3 linked regions of the Oryctolagus cuniculus genome follow. The protein of the gene in region 1 interacts with the protein of each later gene in a pairwise test. Links are inferred from orthologs where the notes say so. Each region holds a gene or a part of one and is shown in the gene's direction. Other genes may lie near its edges. The genes, in order: FBF1, CINP and ACCS.

Region 1 (3,646 bases):
TTGTTAATGTGATTTGCTTGTCCCATTTTAGGCACCAAAAGCCAAGAAAGGATTGAAAGGTAAGTGGAAGGAGGGAAAAGCAGCCTTAACCAAATACGATGAAGGTTCTTCAAGAAGTGCATGGGGGGTGCTTACAAAAAACTATGCATGGACTCCAGGATTCTTTGCACCAACATAAGCTTATGTTTTAATAAATTCCACTTTCCACAAACTTTTTTAGAAGATTTGTTTGAAAGGCAGAGTGACACGGGGTCAGGATAGAAGGGCGCCCCATCTTCCATCCCCCGCTTCACTCCGCAGGTGCCCCCAACAGTAAGGGCTGGGCCAGGCTGAAGCCGGAGCCAGGAGCTCCATCCCTGTCTCACAGTGGGGCTGGAGGGAGGAGGCGGGGACCCACGGACTTGGACCATCACCTGCTGCCTCCCAGGTGCGCTCGCAGGAAGCTGGACTGGAAGCAGAGGAGGAAGTCAACCCCAGACACCCCAGTGTGGGAGGGGGTGCCCGAGTGGCAAAGGCCTCCTCCACAACCTTTCTGAAGTACCTTCACATGTGTTCACCCCCCTACACATTGGGTCCAAAAGCAGTTTATCCATGTCTGTGTTTAAAGTGCTGGGTACAAGTCTTGCTGTTTTTCCCATAATTCCCCAGGCAGCCTTGACCTTCCTAGGGTCCCCCCATATGCCACCTCATTGGTCCTGCAGAAGAATTGAGAAATAAATGAGGTGGGGTTTTAGAAAAAAAGTCCGCACTGGGCTTGTACGTGGTTGGGATGCAGGGCAGTGCAGATGCTGAGGCTGGACGGGAGGACTGACTCGGCTCTGTGCTTAGGGCTGCGCCTCCTTCATGGCGGGGGTGGGGGGCAGCGCTTAGACCGGGGGCTCAGCCGGAAGGGTGCAGGGAGGCCGCGGCATGAAAGAGATCTTGGATGCTCTTCCCAAACAACCACACGGGCTTCGTTGAGTCTGAAGGGCTGATTCTGTGCAAGTCTGTCGGGGGAGGCAGGCAGAAAGGAAACCCGTCCTGTCGTAGTTCTTTGAGAAGGTCACTTCAGATGTCTGCCTCAGGTGTTTCCACAAGGCCCCGCGTCTGCGGCCAGCAGAGGGAGAGCTTGGCCTGAGTTCCCGCATCTGCGGCGGCTGAGGCCCTGGGGTTGATCCGGGGCTGGGATGTGTTCAGGGTCACTTTTCTTCCTCCTGAAGTTACCGTGTCCCCCCTTCTGTTCCAGGCTCCATTGATGATGTCCTCAGTGACCTTCTGGGGGATGACAGTAAGTGCCCCTCCCCCACAGTTCCCTGGGTTTTATATTGTTTTATTTTTCTTGAAAAGGTGTATTTATTTATGTATTTGAAAGGCAGAACAGCAGAGGGAAGGAGAGTCGGAGACAGATCTCCCACCTTCCGGTTCACTCCCCAGGTGGCTGTGAAAGCCAGCGGTGGGCCAGGGCAGAGCCAGGAGTTCCATCCGGGTCTCCCACACGGGTGCAGGGGCCCAAGCACTTGGGCCGTCTTCTGCTGCCTTCCCAGGCCACAGCAGGGAGCTGGATGGGAAGCAGAGCAGCGCTCCAACCATTGCAAGCAGCCACTTAGCCTGCTGTGCTGTGACGTTGGCCCCCAGGTTTGGCTTTGTTTTAATTGACGTGTAATTCACATACTATGAAATTCACTCTTAGTGTGCCATGCGGGGGCTTTTAGAATATTCATAAGGTTGTTCAGCGGTCACCCCCGCCGAGCTCCAGGGCATTGTCTTCACCTGTGAGAGGCCCGTCCCCATGACCAGGCAGTCGCCCTCCCCCCTGCCAGCATGCAGGCAACCACTTACTCTGTGGATTTGCCTGTCCCGGAATTCGACAGGAGATGGTCTCCTGCCCCAGCTGGCCTCCCTTCCGTCTGGCTTTCACTCGGTGCCCTGTGGCATGTACCCATTTAGCTGGATAATACCCCTTGTGCGGATGGGCCGTTTTGTTCACCCATTCATCAGCTGGCGGGTGTTTATCTGAGCTGCCTCCGCATTTTGGCCCTGAGGAGCAATGCTGTTGTGCACATCCGTGCACAGGTCTGTGTAGACGGGCGCCTTCTGCATGGACCGAGGAGCTGCCGGCTCACGTGGCGGCTCTGTCTGACACTGTGAGGAGCTGCCACGCTTTCTCACACCAGCCGTGCCACCTTCCATTCCCCCAGCGATGCCAGAGAATCCCAGTGTTTCCACATCCGCGCCAATGCTTATTTTCCGTCTTTTTGTAAGATTTATTTATTTGGAAGACAGAGTGACAGAGAAAGGAAGGTAGGGAGACAGAGGGAGCTTCTCTGTCCACTGGTTCACTCCCCCAAGGCCTGCGACAGCCGGGTCTGGGCCAGGCTGAAGCCAGGAGCCAGGAGCTCCATCCTGGTCTCCCTCACGGGTGCAGGGGCCCAGGCTCTGCTGCCCTCGCTGGCTGTGAGCAGAGGACGCCCGTGTCTGCAACAGGACCACACAGTCTCCCTCAGGGACGGGAGGACTCGGTTTCCCCGACATGGCCAAGAGAACCCACAAAGCCCTTGTGCCCCGGCCTGCCCTCGGCCCGCTGCGTGTGCATGGGCTGTGGGTGGGTTGGGCTCCTCCTTTGCCTCTGGTTGGCACTGAGGGTTGAATTCCGCTTTGCAGATCTACCGCCACCTGATTCAGGTTGGAGACAGCTGGTGGGGACTCGCCGTCCTCCCCAGCAGAGCCACAGCATCACGGCGTCACGGCATTTCTGTTGTCTTTTTTTTTTTTTTTTTGCCAGAGATGCTTCCTGAGACGCCTGTTAATCGAGCTTCGCGTGCCGGAGACACCGTGGGTGCATCTCGGGGGCTCCCCTCCAAGACCGGAGCAAAGTAAGCACCGGATCCGACGGGCTGGGGCACCTGTGACCCTCCCAGCCCCCGTGCTCTTGGCGTCCCGCTTGGCTGTGCCATTGAATGTCAGTGGTTTCCACCCCCTTCCCGCACCCCTGCCCTGGTACTGAACAAGTCTGGGGAAATAGATACAGATACGAACCGGAGGTCAAAGCCCTGGCTCCTGGTCCTAGGGCTGTCACTCAGATGTGGCCTTGGCCATTCCTGGGCCTCGGTTCCTTGTCCTCAAGAGGCTCGGCCTGGGTGGGTGATTTTCCAATTGTGTGCGTTCTTGGGGGTCTCTCCTGACAGTGGGACACACGGAGGGGCTCTGTGACCGCTCCACCCTCCCCCTGCGTTGTGGCTGGAGCAGTTCGTTTGTAGCTGTTTTTAAAGGGGCTGCATTACTCTAAGACGTTGGCAGTCCCTGCATGGCGGCCTGTGACATTCACTTCAGCTGCTCTGTCCTCCCCAAGGGCCTTGTGCAGGTCCACCTGTACTCTGGGCCACTCCTCCCTAGAGTCATCTGGCGCCCAGCACCGCTGCCACGCTTTTGCAGGTCCCTCCTGGGAGACGACGACGTCTTCGGCCCCAGGGAAGTCCTGGCAGAAGCTGACGCCGAGGTGAGCCTGGCCCGTTCTCCGGTCCGCAGCCTGCTGGTTTATACCGAGGAGCAGTGGCGTCGGTGTGGCCACCAAGGGTGTGGCCACTCACAGAGGAGCTGAAGCCTAGAGGTCAACAAGCCGCCGTCCCACAACACAGTGCCCGGGTCCGGTCCTGCCCCGTCTCCTGCC
Region 2 (3,646 bases), on another chromosome or scaffold:
CTGGGAGGCAGAGAGCTTGTGTTCCAGTCCAGCTGCCTGCTAATGCACACCTGGGCTGCAGCAGCTGTTGCTGGGGTGCCTGCTGCCGACATCTGGGACCTGGACTGCGTTCCCTGCTCCCGGCTTCAGCCTGGCTTGGCCCTGGCCACTGCGGGCATTTGGGGAGTGAACTAGTAGATAGTATACCTCTTGTCTCTCTGCCTTTGAAATGAAATGTAAATAAATAAAACAGAAGTTGATATGCAAAGGTATTAAGATTAGTTTTCCTATTTTCCTGCAGCCTTTAGAGAAAATGGCTTTCCAGTCTTAGCTTTAAGTAGGTGTCTGTAATAAATTTGACTTCTCTGAGTTTCATGCCCTCTTCCCTTAAGGTGAACTGACATTTCTCAGTGCAGTCTGTGTTGGCTGTAGGAGGGGACTGCCAAGGTCAAAGTGGCAGTGTGGGCGCTGTCCGTGCTCTCAGTCCGGGTCAGCACACGCCCATGCAGCTGGGTGTCCATTGCTGGCCACCTACAGAGCTGGAGGGCCGGGATTCCCCTGGAGCGCCCGCTCTTCTTCAGCTTTTCCTAGAACCAGGTGGCAGCAGAGCAAGGCACAGCCTCCTCCCTCGCTCACCCTTGAGCGATTCGCCTTGCTGTAAAATGGAAATGCTGAGTCCTTCCTCGTGGGGTTGGACCAAAGAAATATTGAGCCTAAAAAGATTTTGGAAGGGAGTGAAGTCCCTTAAAAATCAATGCTAGCTAAATTTAGAGCCTTCCACTTCCTGTGCGGTTGGAGAGTGGCTGCAAGGACCAAGTGCAAGGATTAAGATTCTGATGGTTTACGTTTCTTTCCTTCCTCACCTAAAGTCAGTCTGCTCAGGAGTTTGGGATTCAGACATCACAGACCTGTGCTGCTTAAGTCTGAAGTCCCAGCCCCTTTACCATCACTTCATGTAACAGATCCTTACCTGCCTCCACGTCGCCTCTGTGCTCGTGGACACTGACTGCTGTTGGCGCCCTGGGAAGGCAGGGATTTCACGGTCCTGTGTGCCTATGTGTGCAGTGGGGGTGGTGGCACACGTCCTGCAGTGGCCTAGGCTCAGGACCAAGGGCAGCTGTCATCATCTTCTTCATCTTTCCTCTGGTAAATGAGTTTCAGTCAGAAATGAGCCCATTTAATGCCTTTTCTCCTGTCTTTCATTCCATAAAAGCAGCAAGAGCTGACCTCAGGATTCCTCCAGATCTTTGGGACTGAAACATCAGTGCTGTTCAGAGATTTCGTGTGTGTGTGTGTGTGTGTGTGTGTGTGAAGATCTATTTATTTGAAAGGCAGAGCATCAGCAGAGGGGGAGAGAGAGAGCATGATCTTACATCTGTTGGTTCCCTCCCCAGGTGGATGCAGTGGCCAAGGCTGGTCCAGGCCAAAGCCAGGAGCCCAGACCCCAAAGCGGGTCTCCTACTTGGGTGCAGGAGCCCAAGCACTACCCTCCCAGGCACATGAGCAGGGAGCTGGATTGGACATGGAGTAGCTGGGACTTGAACCAGTGCTCCAGTGTAGGAAGCTCGTGGTGCAAGTGGCATTGCAGGCCACAACCCTGGCCCCCGGAAACCTCAGTGAAGTGGGGCTGGGAAAATTTCTCTTTTTCAGGACTGGAAATCTGGAGTTTATTACCCACGTAATCCAAATTAATGAAATCATAACGATCTTCCTTCTAACTCCCTGGAAATTTATCCTCCATGGAGTTAATGGTATTTACTTATTGGCATTTTGATCTCAATAGACTAAGACTTCTTTGCTTTGAAAACTTACGGTTATTGAATTTGAGACTGGAGAGTTCAAATTATATTCTTATATTCCAAACTAATATCTTTTCAGACCAAAATACAGGTGAAGATGGAAAAGCTGTCTTCAACTACCAAGGGAATTTGTGAACTAGAAAATTACCATTATGGGGAGCAGAGTCAACGGCCCCCTATGTTTCACACGTGGCCCACAGCCCATTTCTGTAAGTTGTTCTTTCTGAGTTGGTTTTTCGGAAGGCAGAGGTTATAAAGAATGTTTAGCATCATTTGATTCAGTACATGAAAAAGCTGACGAGGCTTTGAAGTTCAGTACAAGGATCCTTCAGGAGGAAAGGCAACAGGGGTGTCTTTTCTTTTTTAAAGATTGATTGATTGATTTGAAAGGCAGAATTAGAGGCAGAGGCAGAGAGAAGGCTTCCATTTGCTGGTTCACTCCCCAAATGGCCACAACAACTGGAGTTGGACCGATGCAAAGCCAGGAGCCAGGAGCTTCTTCAGATCTCCCACATGGGTGCAGGAGCTCACAGACTTGGGCCATCTGCTGCTGCTTTCCCAGGTGCATGAGCAGGGAGCTGGGTCAGTAGTGCAGCAGCGGGGACTCAAACCATCGCCCATGTGGGATGCCGGCCTCGCAGGCAGCTGCTTTACTCATTACTGCACATGCTGGCCTCCTTTTTGTTTTAGTTACAAAATAAATTGAGGTCATTCCAATGTCTGCAAATAATAATTGATAGAATTAAAAAGGAGAGAATGATCCTACATAAGAAGCAGGATCCACAGCAGACTCATAGAATGGCAAATGTCCTAAAGAGCACTCTGGCCTCAGAATCAGCCCTTAAGGCATTTGGATCTGACTAAAAAGCCCATAAGAGTTTCGCAGGCATGGAAAGCCAAGACACTGTGGCAAAAAAAAAAAACTAAATGAAAGATCTCTGTGAGTGAGATCCCAGCAGAAAGAAGGGGCCATCAAAGAAGGCAGCACCTTTCTCTGAAGGGAGGAGAGAACTTCCACTTTGACTATGGCCTTGTCTAAATAAGATTGGAGTTGGTGAACTCAAGAGGCTTCCTTAGCCTTGGCAGCTCATGACAAGAGCCTTGGGTGATCACTGACGTCATAAATAAGAGTGTCAATTGTTAAATCAACAACGGGAGTCACTGTGCACCTGCTCCACATGTAGGATCTCTGTCCTTAATGTGTTGTACTATGCAAATTAATGGTAAAAAACTACTACTCAAACAGTACTCTATACTTTGTGTGTCTTTGTGGGTGCAGTCTGTTGAAATCTTTACGTAGTATATACTAAGTTGATCTTCTATATAAAGATAATTGAAAATGAATCGTGATGAAGAATGGGATGGGAGAGGAAGTGGGAGATGGGATGGTTGCGGGTGGGAGGGAGGTTATGGGGGGAAAAGCCGCTATAATTCAAAAGCTGTATTTTGGAAATTTATATTTATTAAATAAAAGTTGAAAAAACTGATTAGGAACTAGTAAAAAGATCAGAGAGTCTGTTGAGATACATGAATAAAATTTATTCAACTCAAAAAAATTTTAAAAAGTAAATTGAGGGGCTGGCGCCATGTTTCAATAGGCTAATCCTCCGCCTGTGGCACCGGCACACCGCACACCGGGTTCTAGTCCTAGTCCCGGTCAGGGCGCCAGATTCTGTCCCGGTTGCTCCTCTTCCAGTCCAGCTCTCTGCTGTGGCCTGGGAGTGCAGTGGAGGATGGCCTAGGTGCTTGGGCCCTGCACCCACATGGGAGACCAGGAGAAGCACCTGGTTCCTAGCTGCGGATCAGCACGGTGCGCCAGTCACAGTGCGCTCCATTGGGGGGGTGAACCAACGGAAAAAAGGAAGACC
Region 3 (3,646 bases), on another chromosome or scaffold:
TACACAGCTGGTCATTTGTTCCTGGCCATGAGGAGCGTTGAAATGCAGTCTGGGAGAGTGCTGCAGAGGGTACCCAGCTCACCTGGCTGGTGGGCAAGGTCAAGGGCGCCTTTTGAGGATGTGACACTTGAGCTATGCTGCGAATCAGGACACAGCCAGCTTTTCCCACAAAGGGCCAGGTGGGAAGTATTTTAGACTCCTAGGCCATTTGCTGTTTGCTCTTTCACTCGCCCCTGCTGCATAGTCACTGTGTGAAGGGATGAGCATAATCACTGTGCTCTGATAAAACTTTATTTACAAAAACAAGCCGCAGGCTGGTTTGAGCCTATGGGTTGTGCTTTGTCAAGCCCTGCTCCAAAGGATGCCTGGGAGTTGGTGGTTCAAAGAGATGACCCCAGGGCTTGGCCTGGGGCCCAGAGCCAGATCCGTCCCTCCGTCTCCTCATCTGTGCAAGCAAACACGCGTGGGCTGCCCTGCTGCTCTGCTGGGCCCTATTCCCACGCTGTGCTCTCTGCAGGCTGCCAGACCCCCAGAGGACCCACGTGATGTGGTCCACCAGCAAGGTGAGGTCCTGGCTAGCCGTGGGGGGCGGGCAGGGAGGTGGGAGGAGAGGGCTGGCCGTGGACTAAAGTGCCCGTTCTTCCAGGACTTCGGGATGTCTGGGCTCCGCTTCGGCGTGCTGTACACAGAAAACCAGGACGTGGCCACTGCGGTGGCTTCACTCTGCCGCTATTATGGCCTTAGTGGCATAGCCCAGCACCAGATGGCACAGCTGCTACGAGACCACGGTGACTGCCTGGGCCTGGTGACCTGGGAATGGGGAGGGAGGGCGGCAGTGAGTCTGGGGTCGTGGACGCTCAGCCCAGAGAGGAACTGAGAGCAGGGATTGAGAGGGCCAGCTGGGCTGCCCGGACTGAGCCTCGCCTACCCTATCACTTCCCAGCGTGCATCACCTTGCTTCCCGTACAACGCCCCAGCAGGGGTCCTAATGGGACCTGCCCTGTGGGGTTGGTGTGCTTGGTAACTCAGCACTGAACCTGGCCTGTAACAGGGGCTTCATTGGTGTGAGCTCACTGTTATTAGTCGTGAACACCACTTAAAAGACAGCAGAAGCTGCTTAGAGAAGATTGTTACGATGGAAGTCTCTCTCTCTCTCTCTCTCTCCCTCCCCCCCCTCTTCCTTTCCCTCTCCCCCCTCCCCCTCTCCCTCTCTCCCCCTCTCCCCAAATCTATTCTGTTTCCAAGTTCACATAGTGAGCGTGGATAGCTTGCCGTTAATTGCCTCCATGCCTTGAGCCCTGCAAACACCCGTGCTGTATCATCTCACTTGTCCCTCTCCGGAATCCCAGGCAGCAAGAAGCCCTGTTTGCCCTATCACTCCCCTTATATAAGATGATGGAAATGAGTCTCAGAGACCACACACCTGCTGTCAACAGCTAAGATTTAAAGACACAGGGACACCCAGCATTGACACGGGTGCGGCTCGGACTCTCACCCATGGCTGGTGGAAGTGTCAGTGGTTCATCCACTCTGGAACACAAGTCGGCAACGTCTCAGAAAGCTAAACCCACCCTGACGGAATGACCCGGCTATCCTAATACCACGCTCTGCACGTCGACAAGTTGGTCAGTGACGGACCTCACGTACGACAGCAGTCCCGTGAGATGTTATCCCCTGGTGACGTCATAGCCATCCTAGTGTTGTGGCAGGACACTCTGCAGCGTTCACACAGCGCTCCAATCGCCCAGTGACGCATTTCTCAGGGTGTGTCCTGATCTTTAGGCCACACACAGGTGCCTCAGCGCTGACGGCCCCACACATCTCGTGAATGTGTAGCTGCTCTAGTCATAGCTGCCTATCGTGGGAATCAACCCAGATGCCCTGCAGAGATGGCTGGAGCCGTGGGCTGTGGCACGTCCACACAGTGGAGCACTGTTCTACAGTAAAACTCATGGCAACACAGGCCGCTCTTCAAAGGCATCGGGCTGAGGGAAAGAAGCTAGCCCCAGAAGATGGCGTGCTGGAGGATTCTACTTCTGTGACATTCTGGAAAGTTCTATGTAACAGATGAGTGATTCATGGCCAAGAAGCGGAGGTGACTCGACACAGCATGAGGGTCCTCTTTGGGAAGATGGGACTGTTCTGAATCCGACTCTGGTGGGGGCTACACAAATCTATACGTGCATTTAAATTCATAGGACTTCACACAATGAAGCTTAAATACAAATGAGGATCAGCCAGGTGCAGTTACCCTGGGCTCCACTGATGGGCCTGAGCTTTGGGCTGTGTGATGTGAAAGCATGATTTTAAAATATTTATTTATTTATTTGAAAGGCAGAGGAGAGACAGAAAAAGAGGGAGAGAGGGGTCTCCTGTTTGCTGGTTCACTCCCCAAATGCCTACAACAGCTGGGGCTAGACCAGGCTAAAGCCAGGAGCCAGTGACTAAATCCAGGTGTTGCCCACAGGTGGCAGAGACCCAAGTATTGGAGCCGTCACCTTCTCCCTTGCTGGGTGTTCGTGAGCAGAAGTCAAGATGGAGCCTGGACGTGAACCCAGGCACTTTGATAAGGGATGTGGGCGTCCCAAGTGGCATCTTTTGTTTTGTTTTGTTTTGACAGGCAGAGTGGACAGTGAGAGAGAGAGACAGAGAGAAAGGTCTTCCTTTACTGTTGGTTCACCCTCCAGTGGCCACTGCGGCCGGCATGCTACAGCCGGTGCACCATGCTGATCCGAAGCCAGGAGTGAGGTACTTCTGGTCTCCCATGTGGGTGCAGGGCCCAAGGACTTGGGCCATCCTCCACTGCACTCCCTGGCCACAGCAGAGAGCTGGACTGGAAGAGGAGCCACCGGGACAGAATCCAGCGCCCCGACCGGGACTAGAACCCGGTGTGCCAGCACCACCACTTTCTAACCAGATGAACCTCTGGCTTGGGTTCTGCGTCCTGAGAAACTTGTCATTCTCAGCTGCAGAATGGAGTGCAGGACCTGGCGCTGTCAGGGCGGAGTCTGGATTTGCAGTCCGTGTCCCGCCTACCCCACGGCCAGACGGAGGGGCACTTGGCACAGTCACTTGGGGCACTTGGCACGGGCGGCTGGTGGCCTTTTTCTTTTCTTTCTTTTTCAGATTTATTTATTTACTTGAAAGAGTTACAGAAAGAAGGAGAGGCAGAGAGAGAGAGAGAGAGAGAGAGAGAGGTCTTCCATCTGCTGGTTCACTCCCCAGTTGGCCGCAACGGCCGGAGCTGTGCTGATCCGAAGCCAGGAGCCAGGAGCTTCTTCGGGGTCCCCCATGCAGGTGCAGGGGCCCAAGGACTTGGGCCATCTTCTAGTGCTTTCCCAGGCCACAACAGAGAGCTGGACCAGAAGTGGAGCAGCCAGGACTCGAACTGGTGCCCATATGGGATGCTGGCACTGCAGGCAGCGGCTTTACCCACTATGCCATAGCGCCAGCCCTGGTGGACTTTTTCTTTCCAGCCTTTAGACCAGCGGGGTAGAGTGGAGGGTTGATGGGACGTTGATCTTTGACTCCCCTTTCACCCACAACAGACTGGATCAGCCAGGTGTACCTACCGGAAAACCACGCCCGGCTCAAGGCTGCCCACACCTACGTCTCTGAGGAGCTGCGCGCCCTGGGGATCCCCTTC

What was found.
Region 2: the proteins of FBF1 (region 1) and CINP interact in binary tests that used the Homo sapiens proteins (3 or more experiments, as listed by UniProt). The two-hybrid records come from large-scale screens. The link is inferred for Oryctolagus cuniculus from reciprocal best matches to the Homo sapiens genes FBF1 and CINP.
Region 3: the proteins of FBF1 (region 1) and ACCS interact in a two-hybrid assay, tested with the Homo sapiens proteins (2 studies listed by BioGRID and IntAct). The two-hybrid records come from large-scale screens. The link is inferred for Oryctolagus cuniculus from reciprocal best matches to the Homo sapiens genes FBF1 and ACCS.

Annotation. Positions count from the first base shown.
Region 1 is NC_091448.1:4,735,296-4,738,941, forward strand, and holds part of FBF1 (fas-binding factor 1), read left to right. Parts: intron 1-31; coding exon 32-59; intron 60-300; exon of another isoform or gene 301-427; intron 428-1,225; coding exon 1,226-1,267; intron 1,268-2,761; coding exon 2,762-2,852; intron 2,853-3,411; coding exon 3,412-3,475; intron 3,476-3,481; exon of another isoform or gene 3,482-3,646. UniProt on the Homo sapiens protein: Keratin-binding protein required for epithelial cell polarization. Involved in apical junction complex (AJC) assembly via its interaction with PARD3. Required for ciliogenesis.
Region 2 is NC_091451.1:45,546,912-45,550,557, reverse strand, and holds part of CINP (cyclin-dependent kinase 2-interacting protein), read left to right. Parts: intron 1-1,857; coding exon 1,858-1,987; intron 1,988-3,646. UniProt on the Homo sapiens protein: Component of the DNA replication complex, which interacts with two kinases, CDK2 and CDC7, thereby providing a functional and physical link between CDK2 and CDC7 during firing of the origins of replication.
Region 3 is NC_091432.1:21,568,803-21,572,448, reverse strand, and holds part of ACCS (1-aminocyclopropane-1-carboxylate synthase-like protein 1), read left to right. Parts: intron 1-517; coding exon 518-563; intron 564-646; coding exon 647-788; intron 789-3,548; coding exon 3,549-3,646. UniProt on the Homo sapiens protein: Does not catalyze the synthesis of 1-aminocyclopropane-1-carboxylate but is capable of catalyzing the deamination of L-vinylglycine.